2 linked regions of the Lepisosteus oculatus genome follow. The protein of the gene in region 1 purifies or fractionates together with the protein of each later gene. This does not show direct contact. Links are inferred from orthologs where the notes say so. Each region holds a gene or a part of one and is shown on either strand. Other genes may lie near its edges.

Region 1 (8,207 bases):
TTAAACTACTATTGCTCTACAGTTCTTTTCATGATGCACTGTAAAGTTATTAGCAGGATGTGTATGGAGTCTGTTTTTCCATATCACTCTCTCATAAAACCATTAAATAACAAGAACCCACCCGTTTCTCTGGTTTTAGCCATGCATAGGTATCCTTTAATGTATACCTAAGCCCAAAAAACCAGGTCTCTCTCAGGCCAATAGTCCGGCACACCAGATCAAACAAATCTTTCCCTTTCCACTTCACCTGCAAAGGACACAAATAATAAATCAATGCTGGAATTTAGTATTCTGTACCAAGGAATGAGTCTTAAAAAAGTCCAAAATCATCATTAACACAGAAAACACGTTATGAGGAGTGAAAGATGATACCACCTCATCTTTTTCTTTTGCTTGTGTAGAACAATACGCTACCTCTCTCAAAATGAAAGAACTCCTGCATACTGTGAAAGGCCTTCACACAAATCAATGTGTGCTATGAACTGATGGGACGCAATTAAACTAACAATGTTACCGATACTTGCAAATTATCAAATGTTGGCATTATGTATATACTGTACCTCACAACTGAATTCCATCTCTGCATCCATGGTGATAACTTTGACTTTAAAAGTCTTTGGTTGTTTCTTCTTTAAGCCCAAGATCGACATGTTTGGATTATGTGCCACCTGAAAAAAGCGATTAATAAAAACACGTTGGTTGTTGTTAAATATTAGTACTAATAAACTTAAAACTTAGTGTTATATTTGTTCATAAAATATAGAAACAACAGGAATATAAACACTTACAATACAAATAAAATCGTGCATTTTCTTTTAAGAAATACCCTTGCATTAAAACCTGTTTGAAGGATATTAAGACTACACAATTTAACTGCCTGCTTTCGGCTGTATTACTCCTGTTCGAGTAACGACCAGAAAAGATTTTAATCGTTCGACTGGTTCTTTTTTCATTTCTTACTTTTATATTTCTTAAACAAGTTGGTCTTTCTTGCCAAACTTTAAAACAGGAGTTCGTAAACACAGCTGTATTAAAAACGTGTCAACATTAGAAACACAAACTCAAAGCAGCCCAAACTGTACTAATCAAAACAACTATACTGAGACAATCTATTTTGACCATATGCTACAACTTTTTAAGCAAACACAAACTTCAATATCAAAAGGCTTATTATATCTTAGAAAAACTGTCTAGAGGTTCAAATGAGTACATTATTTTCTGTTTATATATACCTTTTCGGTAGATCAACAACACAAGGCCAAGTCCTCGGAAAAAAGTCCAAGCACGTATCCTGTCCGAGCGGAGCAAAAATCGAATGGCTCGCTTGTACTCAACGCCTAGGTCTTACCCTTAAGCGATGAATATTAACGAAATAAGACCAATAACAAAAAAGTTCTCCGAAACTCCCATTTCTGGGAAATAAAAGTAAAAGTTTTAACCAAATCTCTCAGTATTTTTTAAAACTTATTTTTAAATAGAGTAACAACGATTAACTTCACGAGTTTCGATAAAGAGGCTTTGTTTCACTCTACAGGTGAGAGAATGAACAGCAGGCAGCTGTTTTTTTTTTAAAACTGCTTGATTTTTTCAAAGCAATAGAGATATCACTGAGGTTTGACCCTATGCGATAGAGATTTTTTTTTTACCAGGCTAGACTGTATTTCTCACGTTTTTTATTAATCGCTACGTTAAAATCGTATTGTTGCAAACTTTATCCATCATATTTAGTAACACCTGAAGTGTTTTTAAAGTATTAGTATTCTATGTGGATGTGTATGACCTGATTGCATTCCACCGCCATTGCATTTTAAAGTTATGATGTTGCTGTATGAACATGATATAATGTCCCATACCGCGTATTTATGCTATGCGTCTGCATACAAATCTCGGTTTTGTTTTGACATTGTTCAAGTGTCGCCTTTCCCCTTCCGAGGTGCCGTAGTTTCTGTTTATGGCGTCATCATAATGCGCCGCTTTATCACAGAAGGCATGGAGAAAGAGATTTCCGAATTCCTGACCTTCATAGTTTAATCGATTTTCGTATTTTTGCTAATACTCTGTCTTACATTTTAGGGTAAGAAGTTCCGTATCTGGGAGACATTTTGTCAGTGTCTTAAAATAGATCATTGTCTTCTAATTTTGAACATGTGCTTGCTATAATACACTTTGTTTACGCGAGCTAATTTTGCAATAGATTAAAAATGTATATCTTTTGCAAGATATTTTTATTCAGAGTTAAGCATTAGCTTAATCTAAATCACCTGTAGATTTATCAAATTTAGATTATACATTTGCTATATTATAGTGAAATGCTTAAAACGCGCTTACATTCGTTATTCTATTATGTATGTGATACAACAATAGTGCAAAAAGTTGTTTTTTATTATAAAAAAGTGTCAGTGTAGGCGAAGGTATCGTTTTGCTGCTGGTAATTTTCAGTTTTCGTACAATAAAGACCTTTAAGATCCGCGATGGTTTTGACCTTTTGCTGATTTTACTTTTCCGTAAGGTTTTGAAAGCTGTCAGAATGTCTGCAAAACAAGCCTCAGTCCACGCCAGATGGATAATAGGCAAGGTGATCGGAACCAAAATGCAGAAAACCGCAAAAGTTCGAGTGACAAGACTTGTATTGGATCGGTATCTGATGAAGGTAAATATTATATATTTGAATCTGTTTGATTTTGGCGACAACTATCGCAAAAAATCTGATGTCTACAAGATGAAAATGTTCTATCTATATATGCCAGTCTCAGTTTAGCAAATGCACGGATATTGTTTTAAATTTGTAGAAAAAGAATGAATGTCCAAACAAAAAAAACAGATTACAGAGTTGATTAGATGTGGATTTAATGTGAATTAAGTTAAACTAGTGGATATAATTCTAAATAATGATGTACAAATTCTGGTATTGTAAAGAACTTGCATTGACAGTTCATAACAGTTCATAAACTGCTGCTTCAAAATGTCCAATTTTTAACATCAGGTTTATGGTATATCATGTCATTCACAGTTCTACAACAAAAGGAAGACTTATTTTGCACACGACGCTCTGGAACAGTGCACTGTTGGAGACGTGGTTCTTTTGAAGGCACTGCCTGAGAAAAAGTCAAAACACGTTAAGCATGAACTTGCAGAAGTTGTGTATAAGGTTGGGAAGGTTGTAGACCCACTCACTGGGAAGCAGGTTGCTGGAAGCCTGTTTTTGGAGCCCCTCTCAGACTCCACAGAGACTACCGCTGAATCTTTAACCGAGAAGCTCCAGGAACTGAACATCACAGCAGCATCAAGCAAAACTCCAGAGAAATCTTCTGAAGTCTGAAAAAGTCATTTTAAAAATAAACTTTTTTTTTGCAATGTGTCATGATGTCCATATCTGTCTTGATCGATTTTTGTTTTAATTTAGTTTTTTCAGATGTGAAAATGTGTTAGCACATTGAAAAGTAAATCAAGGAACAAGCAGAGTTCATTCCAACAGGAAAAGTAAAGCAGAAAGAAAAAAAATATTTGAACTGCAGTCTTTAGGTTTCAGAAGAACTGTCTCCTCTCACTGTGCATTTGTTTTGTTCTGTAAAGCACTCTGAGTAGCCACTTTTAAAGGTACTATGTAAAATAAAGTTTATTATTTTATTATAGCTGAGGAATAGGGTATGATGAACCCTCATGCCTGAAGAAGATTCCACAGCTAAAACAGTTTTCTTTTGTACTTGATTCCTTTGAAGCTTTCTGATATACTGTTGTGCAACGGCACTGCTTTAATATTTAGAAGTTAAAAAATCAATTGTATAAAATGTACCTCTATGGAATCAAGATTCTTTGATTAGCTATTAAATAAAATTGCATCTTTTTTAATGTGAAAAATTTGAAGCACTGCGATTGTACCCTTGAGCAAGGTATAGTAATTTACACATGCTGACCCACTACAGTATATAGCAAAATTATATAAATCGGTATTCTCCAGATCATCTTTATAAATGAGAATTCTCAGTTGAGTTATCTGGTTAAATGATGCGCTCGGAGCTACAGTAAGCTTTTTGAATTGTAAATATTACAACATCATTTTTTCGAGACTATGCTGTACAGTACACTTACTCTCCTTGGCACTCCCATGTCAAATAAATGAAATGATTTGAATATTAAAACCTTTGAAGAATATGTATGTTGCACATATAAAATATGTTTAGTGAATTCCCTACATATCTGATGGTTTTGGCAAAATAGAAAATCAATTTGGGTTGGAATACAGAATTGTCAACATATAATTGCGATGTTGATGATTTCTGTGTTAACTGCGTTGTTTATATAACATTGTTTTCTCCATTTATGGGAATACTGTATATGATATAGCTAGGTTACTAAGGGAATTCCCTGTATGTTATTAGCACAACATTACCATTGTAAATTACATTTCTAATTTTAATTTAAAAAGCTTTTTGAAACATTAAAGGTATTTCTAGCTTCACTTGAGTCTTGTGATCTATATTTTAACAGTTACACTTCGAACGTTTTATTCTCTCTTCTTAGTCCTAATTGCACGTGTTCAAAACATGATTACCTCGCAATCTTAAGACCATTCCAAAATGTGAGGTTGCACCCTACGGACAGTTACCATCCGTAAGCAAAACAAGTCTTTTCTTGGAGTAGCGTACCCCCAGATTTGCAAGATGAAAGCTCAGGACCTTAGACATCACGTCGATTCTTTGCATAAATTGCCTTCACTGCCCTCCAATGGCTTTCCTGATTCAGATAATCTGTTACGTCGTTATCAGTGGCAGGAAATGCTCAGCCTGAGGAAGATGGCGACTCGAGTCCTTCGGAGTTTGGGGGCCGACCTGAATCAAGCAAGAACTAGGGTCCGAGCCCGAGGACAGCTCGTTTTCGTCTCCAGGTTCGTCTCTTTCCGCGCAGTTTGTAATAAACATCGCGGTGTTTTTTTTCTCTCATACTAAAGGTGCTCTTTCTGCGTGTTTAGGTCCATGCTTTTTTTGTGCAGCCGATGTCGCCGCCCCCTCCAAACTGTAGTGTAGGTTGGGAAAATAATGCGCTTCCAGCCCTGTTTGGGCTGTGTGCAATTTGCGCTGAGATATAAAAAAAACAACAACGTTTAAAACTTTATCTTAAAGCAACACCAGTTATACTTTTGGGCCTCCTGTTTCCTTTCGTTTCCCTTTTTAATATTGACCTCGAAACAGGCCGACTATCTCGCAGGAAGTTTTTGTCGGTGGTGTGCCTGCAGTTTATCCAATTGCAGCTCAAGGTCATTATAAATGTCTTTGTTTACTGAGCATACATGGTTACCGTTGTAAGGAGGGCACTGACTACCATTTTTCTTTGTTTTCACCGTTAATTATGTGATTGACCTTGACACTTTTTTTTTGTCAACGCAGTGTTTTCTGCGTGGTTTATTCAGTGTAGTACTTAGGCTTATGTGATATTTATTTTTAGTTATGCCATTCTTTCTGATTTATCCGGACATATGTGTATTATTTTTAGATTCAGTAACACCGATTATGATATTGGACGTATTCCCATTTTATAATAAAATTGAAACACTATTCCGCCTTACGACCACTGTCGTCATACAGTATGTGTTCATATGCATAGAGTCTCTCCTCAGTACCACAGCAAGGTTAGGCCCGGTCAGTAGCAACACTAATGACCTCCAAAAATGCTTATGAAGGTAGTGGTGGGGGGACTTTTCAGGCTATTTTTCTCCTCATAGACCTTCAGTATCCCTCATCACTATTAAGGGTGGGAAGGAGGCTGGTTATTTCAGATTTCAGTTTCTGGAGCTCTAATCAGATGTGGGCGATGTGCTTACAAGCATCAATCAACAGAGAGCTCATTATTCACTGGAGATCGAAATAGGTGTAAATGAACCTCTAGTTATATATTTTTTTATTTCTCCAACTTTAACGTGGCTTTTCTGGAAGTATTATATATTGCTATGATAGTATTTCTGCTATGGTGCACATGCACACTTTCAGGCGCGAGTGTATTAAAACTTGTGTAAAACCTGTCTCAGTACCAATGACATTCTTGGCTTCTCACTGTTGCCTTCAGAGCCCTGTCAGCGTCTACTAACAGGAATGGGGAGGACAGCTGGTTCAAGTCTCTCTTCGTCCGAAAGGTTGATCCGAGAAAAGACGCCCACTCTAACCTCCTCGCTAAGAAGGAAACCAGTAACCTGTACAAAATTCAGTGTAAGTTCCTTGCTCATCACTGTATTCCTTGCTATTACCAGATGCAACAAACATCATGTTGGCAAGTTATTCTGAAAGGCTTGTTGTTAGTGTAATATATCAAGACCTTTTTTCTTTGTGAAAAGCCACAAGTAGAGAAAAAGTGGTGTTAGCTATTTACTTTTCTTAACTTAAGAGGAACACTCAAATTTTTGAATGTTTTTATTTTTGTTTCCAGTTCACAATGTAAAACCTGAGTGCCTGGATGCCTACAACAAACTTTGGTGAGCTTTCTGCTATCATTCTTGCTAAGCAAAAACAGGAACATCTGTATAGCTGTAGTTAAACTGAGCGTGATGGGATTTTATGTCATAGAGTGTGTTATAGCACCCGATACATTTGGAATGATTTATTTGAAAAAAAAATAAAATGTGTGAATTTTTGAAAAATTTAAAACAAGAACTTTTGATGTTTCCATGAGCCAGTTATGAATTTACAATGTATTTGCAGGTATGAATATGCCTGATTTCATTCATTTATTACAAAGCTTCTTGGTGATTCATAACTGCAGACCAATGAATAATAGATCTTTATCCTGCTGTTTCACGGTGTTGGTAATTGTTCCTGCTTGTACCCACACAGGTAAAAAGCATGAAGTAGGCTAACAAATTTGAAAAACTCTTTAAAAAAGATGATTTGGAAAAATATGTGGATCATATTTAAATAAAGATTGCACACCATTTAACTTTACAGAAAGGAATTAGTGTGCCCTGGCATGTAGAATGCACATGGGAGCTCTTTATGAATATGGAAGCAGATGGTTTTGGCTTATGACTATGTAGGGGACTGTTTCCTAACTGAACAATCCGATGATCATAACACTAGGCAAAAGCACAATCGACAGCAAGGACTGTAAAGCAGCAGCAGCTGCAAGAAATGACAATGCAGTCACTTAAGATGCAGCTGAGGAAGGGGTCTGTCTGAGCAAGAGTGACAAAGGTGAAGGTGAAGCAAAAGCTTTGTGCCCGAGACAATGGCCTTTGAAGTGTTTGACTAATTTAACTCTCCATACAGCGAGGAGGTTTTGCCATCAATCCATGCAGATAAGCACTACCCCTGTGAGCTGGTGGGCACCTGGAATACGTGGTACGGGGAGCAGGATCAGGCTGGTAGGGGACAGCACCGGTACCCAGCATGCAATGTCTTCTGCAGTCTGTTTTACCAGTAAACCTACTTGTACACTTGAATACATAATGCTACACCCCTTAGGCCACAATTTATTAGCTAGTGCTGTCCCATAGTATGACCAGGTCAAAATGTCATGCTTTGATTTTTCCAGGAGATTGTAGAATATCAGGTATAACTACTCCATCATGACACTGCAAATGAGCCCCTGTCTCTCAGCAAACTCGTACTGAGAACTGCTCTTTTGATAGAAAAGACAACAGCAGTTGCTTGTTTTTGTATGTCTGTGCTTGTCTGTATAGAGCAGTGCAGCTCCTGGTATTTGAAGAGGAAATAGTTCTGGGTTCCTTGTGCCTGTTGCTTGCTGGGATAGGCTCCGGCTCCCCTGCGACCCTGAATTGGTACAAGCGGCAACTAACAAGATACATGGATAGCTCTTGGTTTACTAAGCAATACTTTCTCAATGATGTGGTCATAATGAAGTAACCATCAAGTAACATAAAGTGCTCTGCATTTTGTTTTCTAGTTCACCTGTGGAGGTATGAGGGAGGTTACCCAGCACTAACTGAAGTAATGAGTAAACTTAGGCAAAACAAGGTACTGGAGCCTTTCTTCATCCGTATACAAAACGTAAATAACGCCACTATTTTTTCGACTTACAATCTCTGAAAGGAAAAGGGAGAAACAGGCTGGTCTTTGCCAGCTTTTTGTGGCTTCATGTGTGATTTAAATTATTGATTTCAATATTGTGTTTGAAGCTGGGAAGAAAATATTACAGACTTCACAGGTATGGAGGGTTATGATTATTCCAGGTAATCACACGATCTTTATAGGTACTGCACA
Region 2 (8,209 bases), on another chromosome or scaffold:
TAGAAGCACTCCGCATGCATGAACAAAAAGCAAGGAGGGTTGAGATCAGTCTGAAAGTTGATCGTTACCTCTCTGGCAACATTGCTGGTCTTCACTTCCTGGATTACTGTTCCATAAACAATATAGTCTACAGCAGTTCTTGGGATGCCAGTCTTGGTGATGAGCCCCCTGTTGAAAGATGGTTTAAAACTGTACTAAAAAAAACACCTTTTTGATTGTACATATATTTAGTGTTACCGAATTTTCATATTGCCGTTTCCTGAAATCATACCCATTACCAAAGACATTTTCTTAAACGTAACCCCAAAGGAATATTATTTGAATTTTACAATTCATTTTACTTACTGCAACGCTGCTCTGGCCAAGTCATGAGGCATCAAATCACTATACCTAAAAAAATGTCAAAGAAATTTTGTCTTAGCTTGAAGGTAGATAATGACTGGCAAAACATGAGCTCTAATTCCCAACGTTAAGGGTAAAAAGATCACTTAACACCCAAACAGCACAAAATAAATACAAGCGTGTTAAAAAAAAAGCTGAAGGGTACAGCTGTAGCCTCAACTGTTAATACACTACTAGGCTATTTCACATGCATTAGCTTGTAGTCCTACTATCACAATCTATTTAAATATTTAAACGAGCAGCACTTTTATTGACTTCAGGAAAGAAGAATATGTCCTGAATGAACGGATGGGTGGATGGAGTTTACAATTCAGGTGTGTTAAGCTGGATTGTTCTTTTTCAGGGGAAAAGCCTTGTAGCATCTTTTGTCCCACCCCATCGGAAAAAAAAAAAGAAAAATGTTCTGCACGTGAAGAAACAATTATGTTTTCTTTGGGAATTAATCCATTAGTTTGAATTAGTTTGTGCATTAATAACTAAGAAAGATTATACTAAAGACATTCATATTTTTACTTACGTTGTTCCAGACTGCAAAAAAGGGGTGCGCACTCCTTCAACTAGAACGATATTCTTCACACCAGGTTTTGCCAGAGTCTTTTTAGTTTTGGGTTGTACTACAATAATAAAGACAAAACATTCAGAACATTTCCATTCTTACTAATACTAAACATAAAAATAAACTTAACCAAAATAATTGATGGTATTGTCAATCTAAATCATTAAACACATCTTTTGTAAAACACTTTTAAACTTTAGGCACAAAAGCACCGGTAAAAAAGTAATAAGGATCTAGCAATTAGAACAACACAGATTTAAAATATTACATTCTGTCCTTCAAAAAAGGATTTTGAAGAATCAAAGATTTCACACCATAAGAAAGGATAATTTACTTTTAGTCTTCTGGAAAGTACTGTAATTATCGATAAATTATTTTAATTCAAAACCCCCAAAGGTAAAATAAACATTTTGCTAAAAAAACACTTTTCTTTTTTGCACAAATGGCACAAAAGAATTAGACTATACCTTGAGCTTGTAAATGTGATGTCGTAGTCAGTGATCTAGCAGCTGATAAGGATGGAAAATACAAAATATTTCCAAGATTAATTAAAACATCCATTGTATATACACTAAAACCTATATTTAAGAGCTTTCCAATTTTTGTTCTGATATTAGCTATTTTTAATTAATGTAAGAAATTGAACAGATTCAACTCAATGCAAATGAACTGAACAAATTCTATGCAAATGGATTGACGTTATTTTCTGATCATGTAGTTACTGCAGAAATAAATTAGCACAACAGAGCAAATGCTCTCCTCCTGTTCTAAGGTTCTGATCTGATAATAGAAAGGGTAGCTGGAGTGAAACCAGAAGATACCAGACTGGAAATCCCAAATGACAGACTGATTTATTCTGAATTTTATTTTTATAACCTGTTCTTTTTTTCTTACCAAGTTTAACAACCCAGGCAGAATTTACTGGGCAGTTCCTGATGCCATGTGTCAAAATGGATGCCATTTTTGCTGTCCTAAAATGCAGAAGAAAAAGTCGTCAACATTCATTCTCCTTCTGTAAGGAAAATGTAATAGAACCCTGATCTTTTTCACAGTTAATCCTAAGATTGTTAAACAAAGTATTTCACTTACACTGAATGATCATAAAAATCCAGGTATGATATCACGACTTTCCGTTTATGAAGGATTCACAATTTTAGGAAATGCAAAATTTACCAAAAAAAAAGGAAAAACTGATTTAAAGCTTGTTTGTAAATGCATATATATATATAGAGGTCTTAAAAAGAAACAAAACACTAAACTAGATAAATAAATATCTAATAATGTTTAGTGGGGTACAAGTCAAACAGCCCCCACTGTTTTCTGTAGCATTTAATGAACATAACTACAACTTGTCTTCCCTTTTCATAAATGACAACTTCACAACAGTATTAAAGCTTTAAATGCAAAACAATCCACCTGCATTATTTCAATAGTTTTATTTAAATTCAGCATGATGTTTTTTTCCGTGCCTTTTACATAGCAACCACATGAACCTAAGTGAAAGGTTGTTCTCAAGATAATAAGCTTGATTTGTGTGAGAAGAGTCATTTCTTCACATAAAAAGCAGCAGGGTTACAAAAACTTTATAAAACTGTACCAATCCTAATCTATTAAGAAAGAAAATAAAAAAAATCAGTTCAATAATGGCCTGCGACTAGCCCATTTCGTGGTAAGTACTAAAAGTACAAGAATCTCAACCAGCCATTTATTTAAAGAATCTAAGATATCACAGCTTCAGCATGGCTGGGTAGCTTGTTCCAGACTCCCACAACCATTTTGGTAAAGAAGTGTCTCCTGTTCCTGTTTTGAAACGCACTTCTTCTTGTGTCCAATGGTTCATGTTTCACTGTTCATTCTGAAGGATTCTGCTGGGTTGACACTGCCAATGCATGTGAGGATTTTGAATCAGGTTCTGGATAATATCCCCCTATAGCCTTCTCTGATCATAACTAAAAAGTTCACGTTTCTTCAGCACTATAGTGTAGGACAATCCCTTCAGCCCCACAATGTTACTACTCCTTTCTGGATGGATTCTAGAGTAGCAATATCTATTTTATAAAAACATGGCGAGTTAAATTGTATACCATATTCTAAATGATGCTGTCCAGCACAGCAGACATATGACAGGTTTTGGTGTCAAAATTGTTTGACTTCATGGTTGACCTTAATGACATCTTTGAAGTGTTTTTTTTTTTTGCCTTCTGCTTGAGTGTATGAAGTTGTCTATCCAACTTCACACACACAGGGTATTCCAAATGAAGTCTGCATCACACAAATGTTAACATAACCCCCTGAGTTAAGTTCTACTCTTTTAAATATTTATCCTGCCATTTTGATAAAACGATAAGACAGTAAACTGTTCTGCAACGTCACTGCCTCAGTCTACACAAAGAAGCTGCATTCTGTTCTAGGAGACTCAAAAGCATTTTAGTTATCTCTCAAGCACTTCTATATATTTGACATTTAACTCCACCTTTTCAGAAATTCAAGGTAGTAAAACGCATACGGAATTCATATTGTACATTATATTCACAGATCGGGTGTTCCGGAGTGAGAGTTTCCTATCTGGGTGGAAGCACCGCCCACAGCTACACTTGACCTCTCACCTACTTCTCCAACCTCCATACCACACGAGCCTCTGCAATGAAACAATACATTGCAGTTCATTTTGGTTGGAAAAGTAAGGTCTGTGATAATCCAATCCACACAATTCAAGAACTGTGTTCCCTTTAATGGTTACACAAATCCCGAGATTAACAAAAAAGTGGGGCACTTCTTACTGGTAAAGAGAACTTTCAAACGATGTTGGAAATGCAAGGCGCTTGCAAAAATAATACAAAATCTGGCTCCGACAACGCTCGCTTAATTTGGCACGATTTTCTCGATCTAGAATAGAAAATGAATTATTCACATAACGTACCAAATCATAACCAACCTTTAAAAAAATATTAATCAGTTATCGAAAACAGTACCGATTGCAACTTATTGATCATTGTATTTCATTCACATAAAGATAACATCTATACGAACGATGCAATGTTAAACTATTAAGTAAGAGGAGTGTCACTGAAATAGAAGCGCCTGAATTTCAAATTACTAATGTGAAAACTGCAACGCAATGATTTGCACCTGATGTTTCCCCATGACTTAAAAAAAAACAATGCATGCTGCTTTACATACTTCTCTGCTTGTTTACACATGTTTTAGCGCTATGTCTGAAAGCATTACCCGATTTCTTTTCTTTCTGGCGAAATACGCTCACCTTGTCCGTAACGGAATACTCACACGCAACACCCAAACCCTGACTGACCCGGACACAACAAGCCTTACAGTTGTCTCTCTCTAAGGACCTTCGACAGGTTGTGCTTTCCCAATCCTCGCCTGACATCCTTGTGCGGCTCGTTACATTAATGAAATAATAGTAGGAAATTGAACAACAGTACAAACTGGAAACCTTAATAATTTAGAATATTTAGACTTTTATATATATTTAAATTTTACTTTTAGAAGCTTTCTCTTATGTTTTGTCTCAGGCTTATCTGTGGTGTCCTCAACAGATATTAATACTGAAGGTCCTAGTCTGCTTGCCAAAGGTTGTTCTCTCCCTTGTCTGAACTTGACTGGCAAAGATGGCTGGCGTAAGAGCGCTTGGAATACTTTCCAGGTTTGCAACGAGCAGATATTCACTCTTTTCAGGTAACTGAATATGTTAGCTTATTAAGATGCTGGGTGCCACCTGCACCTTCCTCTGTTGCCATTATTGTTTAAGAAAAGAGAAGTTTCTTGGTGCTGGATGAGTGGGTGTACAGTATGCAACTGAAGCAGGTCTGCATTGACCTTTCACCTACTTAAATAGTGACAGTTACTTTGATAGAAATGCACACAGAAGTCATAACATAAGGGTTTTGTTGTGTCTATTGTAGCTGATGCATATAAAATTGAATATTTTTTCTAAGGCAATTTGTTCCTTTATGCGTTTTGCAGTTTTAATTCACCCAGACGTTGCTCTCCTTTTTATTTTTTTCGTGATTGATTTGCTTTCTTTGAGTCTTAAAGGCAATTTCATTGAATTTAATCATGATTATTAGCGTTCTTAATAGTTAATGTTTTGGATTTTTGTAATTCTTTGAAGTAAGTGATTATAGTGCAGTACTACAAACAGCAACGCTAGGAAAAATTAAGACTTTTTCTACACACTGAGCACAAAGACTGAACACACACCAATGTACTCAGTCTTACAGTTTTTGTTTATTCTCCGTAGGGTGTGAGAGTTTTCTTTCCTTATGTGTATTGCATTCAGTTAGTTGAATATGGAGATTTGGAAAAAATACCAGAATGCTGTTAATCACTCTGCAGTAATTAAAGTTACCTTTTAATATGGAGGAGCATTCGTTCTACTTGACTACTCAAACACAGAATTGCTAAAGTATTAAATGGGGTGCCGTGCAGTTTAATATTCAGTGTTAATTATAGTGATCAACTTCTGTGCCTCTGACTTAAAGTTCATAAAAAGCCTATAAAGTATATTCATTTAATTTTTGGAAGGCAAGGGGAAAATCGATTTTATTAAGGCACACTGAGCCTATGTGGAGTGAAAACGCTGTTGCTGTACCTTCTTATACCTTAACATTCATGTCACTGTGGCAAGAGAAAATCACTGCAGTCTTCAAAACCCTTTCAGTTTAAGGCACTTTTTTATTCTGTAAAGATGGGAGAAATCAGTTCTATACGAGGGAATATAGATATTTCATGAAAGAGGTCAGAATATTAACAAAAGTTGATATTGTATGGAAAACATAAAACTGCTAAAAAAGCTATAGGAGCTAAACCATGTAGTGCTCTTAGGTCAGTGCCAGTTAAACTTTATTAAAGTAGTAAAATATGATTATTACTCTAGTTTAATACATGTGTTTTATGGTGTTAACATTTAAAGGTTATTCAGGTAGAGCTGTGTTCCATATTTCACTTTTTGGATTTCCATTTTAAATGATAATTTGATTAACATACTGCAGATTAAAATATTCTGTAAAATATTTCACTTGTGAATGTACTGTAACCTTGATTTAAGCAGTGGCCATTACTAAGCAGTTGCCATTGCCAGTGGTATTGATCTTGTGCTGTGTCACATGTTAAAAAGAAGGACAAAGGTCACTTTCTGCAAGCTTTTTATCTTTCCACCTATAAAAGGAATTTGTGTCAAAGTTCATTGCCTTCTTGCATCAAGTAGACTTGACGACCCCAAGTTGACCCCAAATATTAAAGGGACCACTTACTTCAATGTGATTTTTCACTTGACTTTCCATGTTAAGAGTTTTTTTTTTACTGTTTAGCATTTGTATTATTGAAATGCAAGCTAATTGAATATATAAACCTATACTAATGCAATATTTTAAAGCATTTAAAATGCTTCATTAAAAATATTTTTTTTTTATTCCTGAATGACAACTGTTTTGAAGGTCTTCTCATTTATACTTATAAATGTGACGCATTTGTTTCCCTCAGCCTTCTATATTTAACACTACACATCTTGCCATGGGTATTTTATGAATGTAGAAAGAGATTTGTCCCCAACTAGAAGCTGTAGTGTGTCAGCGGTCACTGGGTAAAATGAATATTAAGGTGTTGAAACAGCTACAATTATCCATCAAGGTTACAAACTAGTCTGATCAAGTACCACATACTGGACTTAAAATTTTGTTAAATTCCAGGAAGTTCTAGAAACATCCAGCAGATAATGTAACAATGTTTTGCATTTAGGGAAAGTTAACAAGGACTGTAAGCAAAAAGCATTTGAGCAGGTGTGGTTGAAGAGCACGAGACCAGACTGAACGAGCTACAGCCAAACAATTCAATGTTAGCACTTGATTCTGCCTTGATGAACCAGAACTTGTGAAATACAGGAGCGCTAAAAGGACTTCTTTTAAACACAGGGAAATGAGCTGTACGGCCAAATTTAAGGAGCTAGTTAAGAACCCATTCCGAAATCCACCAAGCAAAGTTTGTTTATTAGGAGTTTTGATTGGGACCAAAATGTGTCTCTCTTTTCCTCCGTTTAAAGGCAGGCTTTGCCATAGATAATTATTTGGTTTGTGAAATTCACTCGGTTTATCTTGATTGAGATGTATGTATCCTTCAACATGAATGATGCATTCATAGTCTTTTATTTAATTAGCTTGCATTTTGTGCTTCAGATAGTGTGATAAGTTTGTCACTAAAGCTATTGCCTATTTCATTGCTACCACCTTGAGGATAGTACATAAAAAAAGGCCACATGACCTTGTTCATGTGAGTAATTCACCTGACGAATAAGGTGGGTTATTATTCATCTTTAATAAATGTGCTGTTTCTCAGATTGTACTGCCTTGTTTGAAAGTGAATCTTAACGTAAAACCTTAACTACCTACTTTTGCTATTAATACCCCTTATATTATTATTCCTCATAAGTTTTATTTTCTTTCTGTAGGTTATGCGTGCCGCAGCTTCACAGTTTCTTCTGCCATGCTAGGTAACTATGGTCATAGTCTGTTATGTTGTACAGTATGTTTTGTTAATATTTTGTAAAATGGTTACAAATTTTGTTTTCCCTACAGTTCGAACCCATGTCAACTATGAAGTTAAGGGAGATGTTGCAGTTATACGAGTCAACGACCCAAACTCCAAGGTACTTCAAATATATCATTAGACTTTTTTTCCGATATTTCCAGCTTTTTTCTGTTCTGTGTTTTAAACGCCTAGTTTTCAATTGAATAACGTCAAGCTTTACTTTTGATATTAATTTGACACTAAAAACACAATAGCAGCTATAAGTGGACCTTTGGTCTCATTCACTGTCAGTTTTTTTTATCCTAACCAATAAGGACACCCGGTGTAACTGCTAAAGACTGGACATACGCCAGCAGAATCACTCTTTTATACCCACCTACAAAACAAAGTAGGAATGTATTAGGTTTATGAAAGTAAAGAACAATTATGAATATCGTGCTTAAAGCAATGCTCCAAATATAAATGAATTTTTCTAAAAAGTTTGTCCTATTTTGAGACATACTTAAATATGAAGATATAGAAAAACTAAATACAAAAATAGACAGGTAAAAAACATGTAGAAAATATTAGTATAATCTTAATGATTATATAATATGCCATAAAAAAGTGACTTAACTAGTTTTTATTTGTTGCCTATGTAAGGCAGGTTACATAGACGACCATTTTAATACTAAAGGAAACTTTGATTTGTCTTTGTCTTTTGCAGGT

Evidence for each region.
Region 2: the proteins of nipsnap2 (region 1) and trifunctional enzyme subunit alpha, mitochondrial purify together in Homo sapiens (affinity purification with mass spectrometry; 3 studies listed by BioGRID and IntAct, with this or other methods). This does not show direct contact. The link is inferred for Lepisosteus oculatus from reciprocal best matches to the Homo sapiens genes NIPSNAP2 and HADHA.

The regions. Positions count from the first base shown.
Region 1 is NC_090721.1:5,712,112-5,720,318, forward strand, and holds the start of nipsnap2 (protein NipSnap homolog 2), read left to right. Parts: upstream 1-4,747; 5' UTR 4,748-4,775; coding exon 4,776-4,885; intron 4,886-6,060; coding exon 6,061-6,200; intron 6,201-6,417; coding exon 6,418-6,463; intron 6,464-7,253; coding exon 7,254-7,348; intron 7,349-7,890; coding exon 7,891-7,961; intron 7,962-8,207. Other genes in the region: nf2b (NF2, moesin-ezrin-radixin like (MERLIN) tumor suppressor b), read right to left, coding at 122-247, 561-650. UniProt on the Homo sapiens protein: Protein involved in mitophagy by facilitating recruitment of the autophagy machinery required for clearance of damaged mitochondria.
Region 2 is NC_090697.1:47,017,895-47,026,103, forward strand, and holds the start of trifunctional enzyme subunit alpha, mitochondrial, read left to right. Parts: upstream 1-4,544; 5' UTR 4,545-4,587; coding exon 4,588-4,654; intron 4,655-7,421; coding exon 7,422-7,463; intron 7,464-7,548; coding exon 7,549-7,619; intron 7,620-8,207; coding exon 8,208-8,209. Other genes in the region: hadhb (trifunctional enzyme subunit beta, mitochondrial), read right to left, coding at 69-168, 346-390, 920-1,016, 1,426-1,467, 1,853-1,919. UniProt on the Homo sapiens protein: Mitochondrial trifunctional enzyme catalyzes the last three of the four reactions of the mitochondrial beta-oxidation pathway.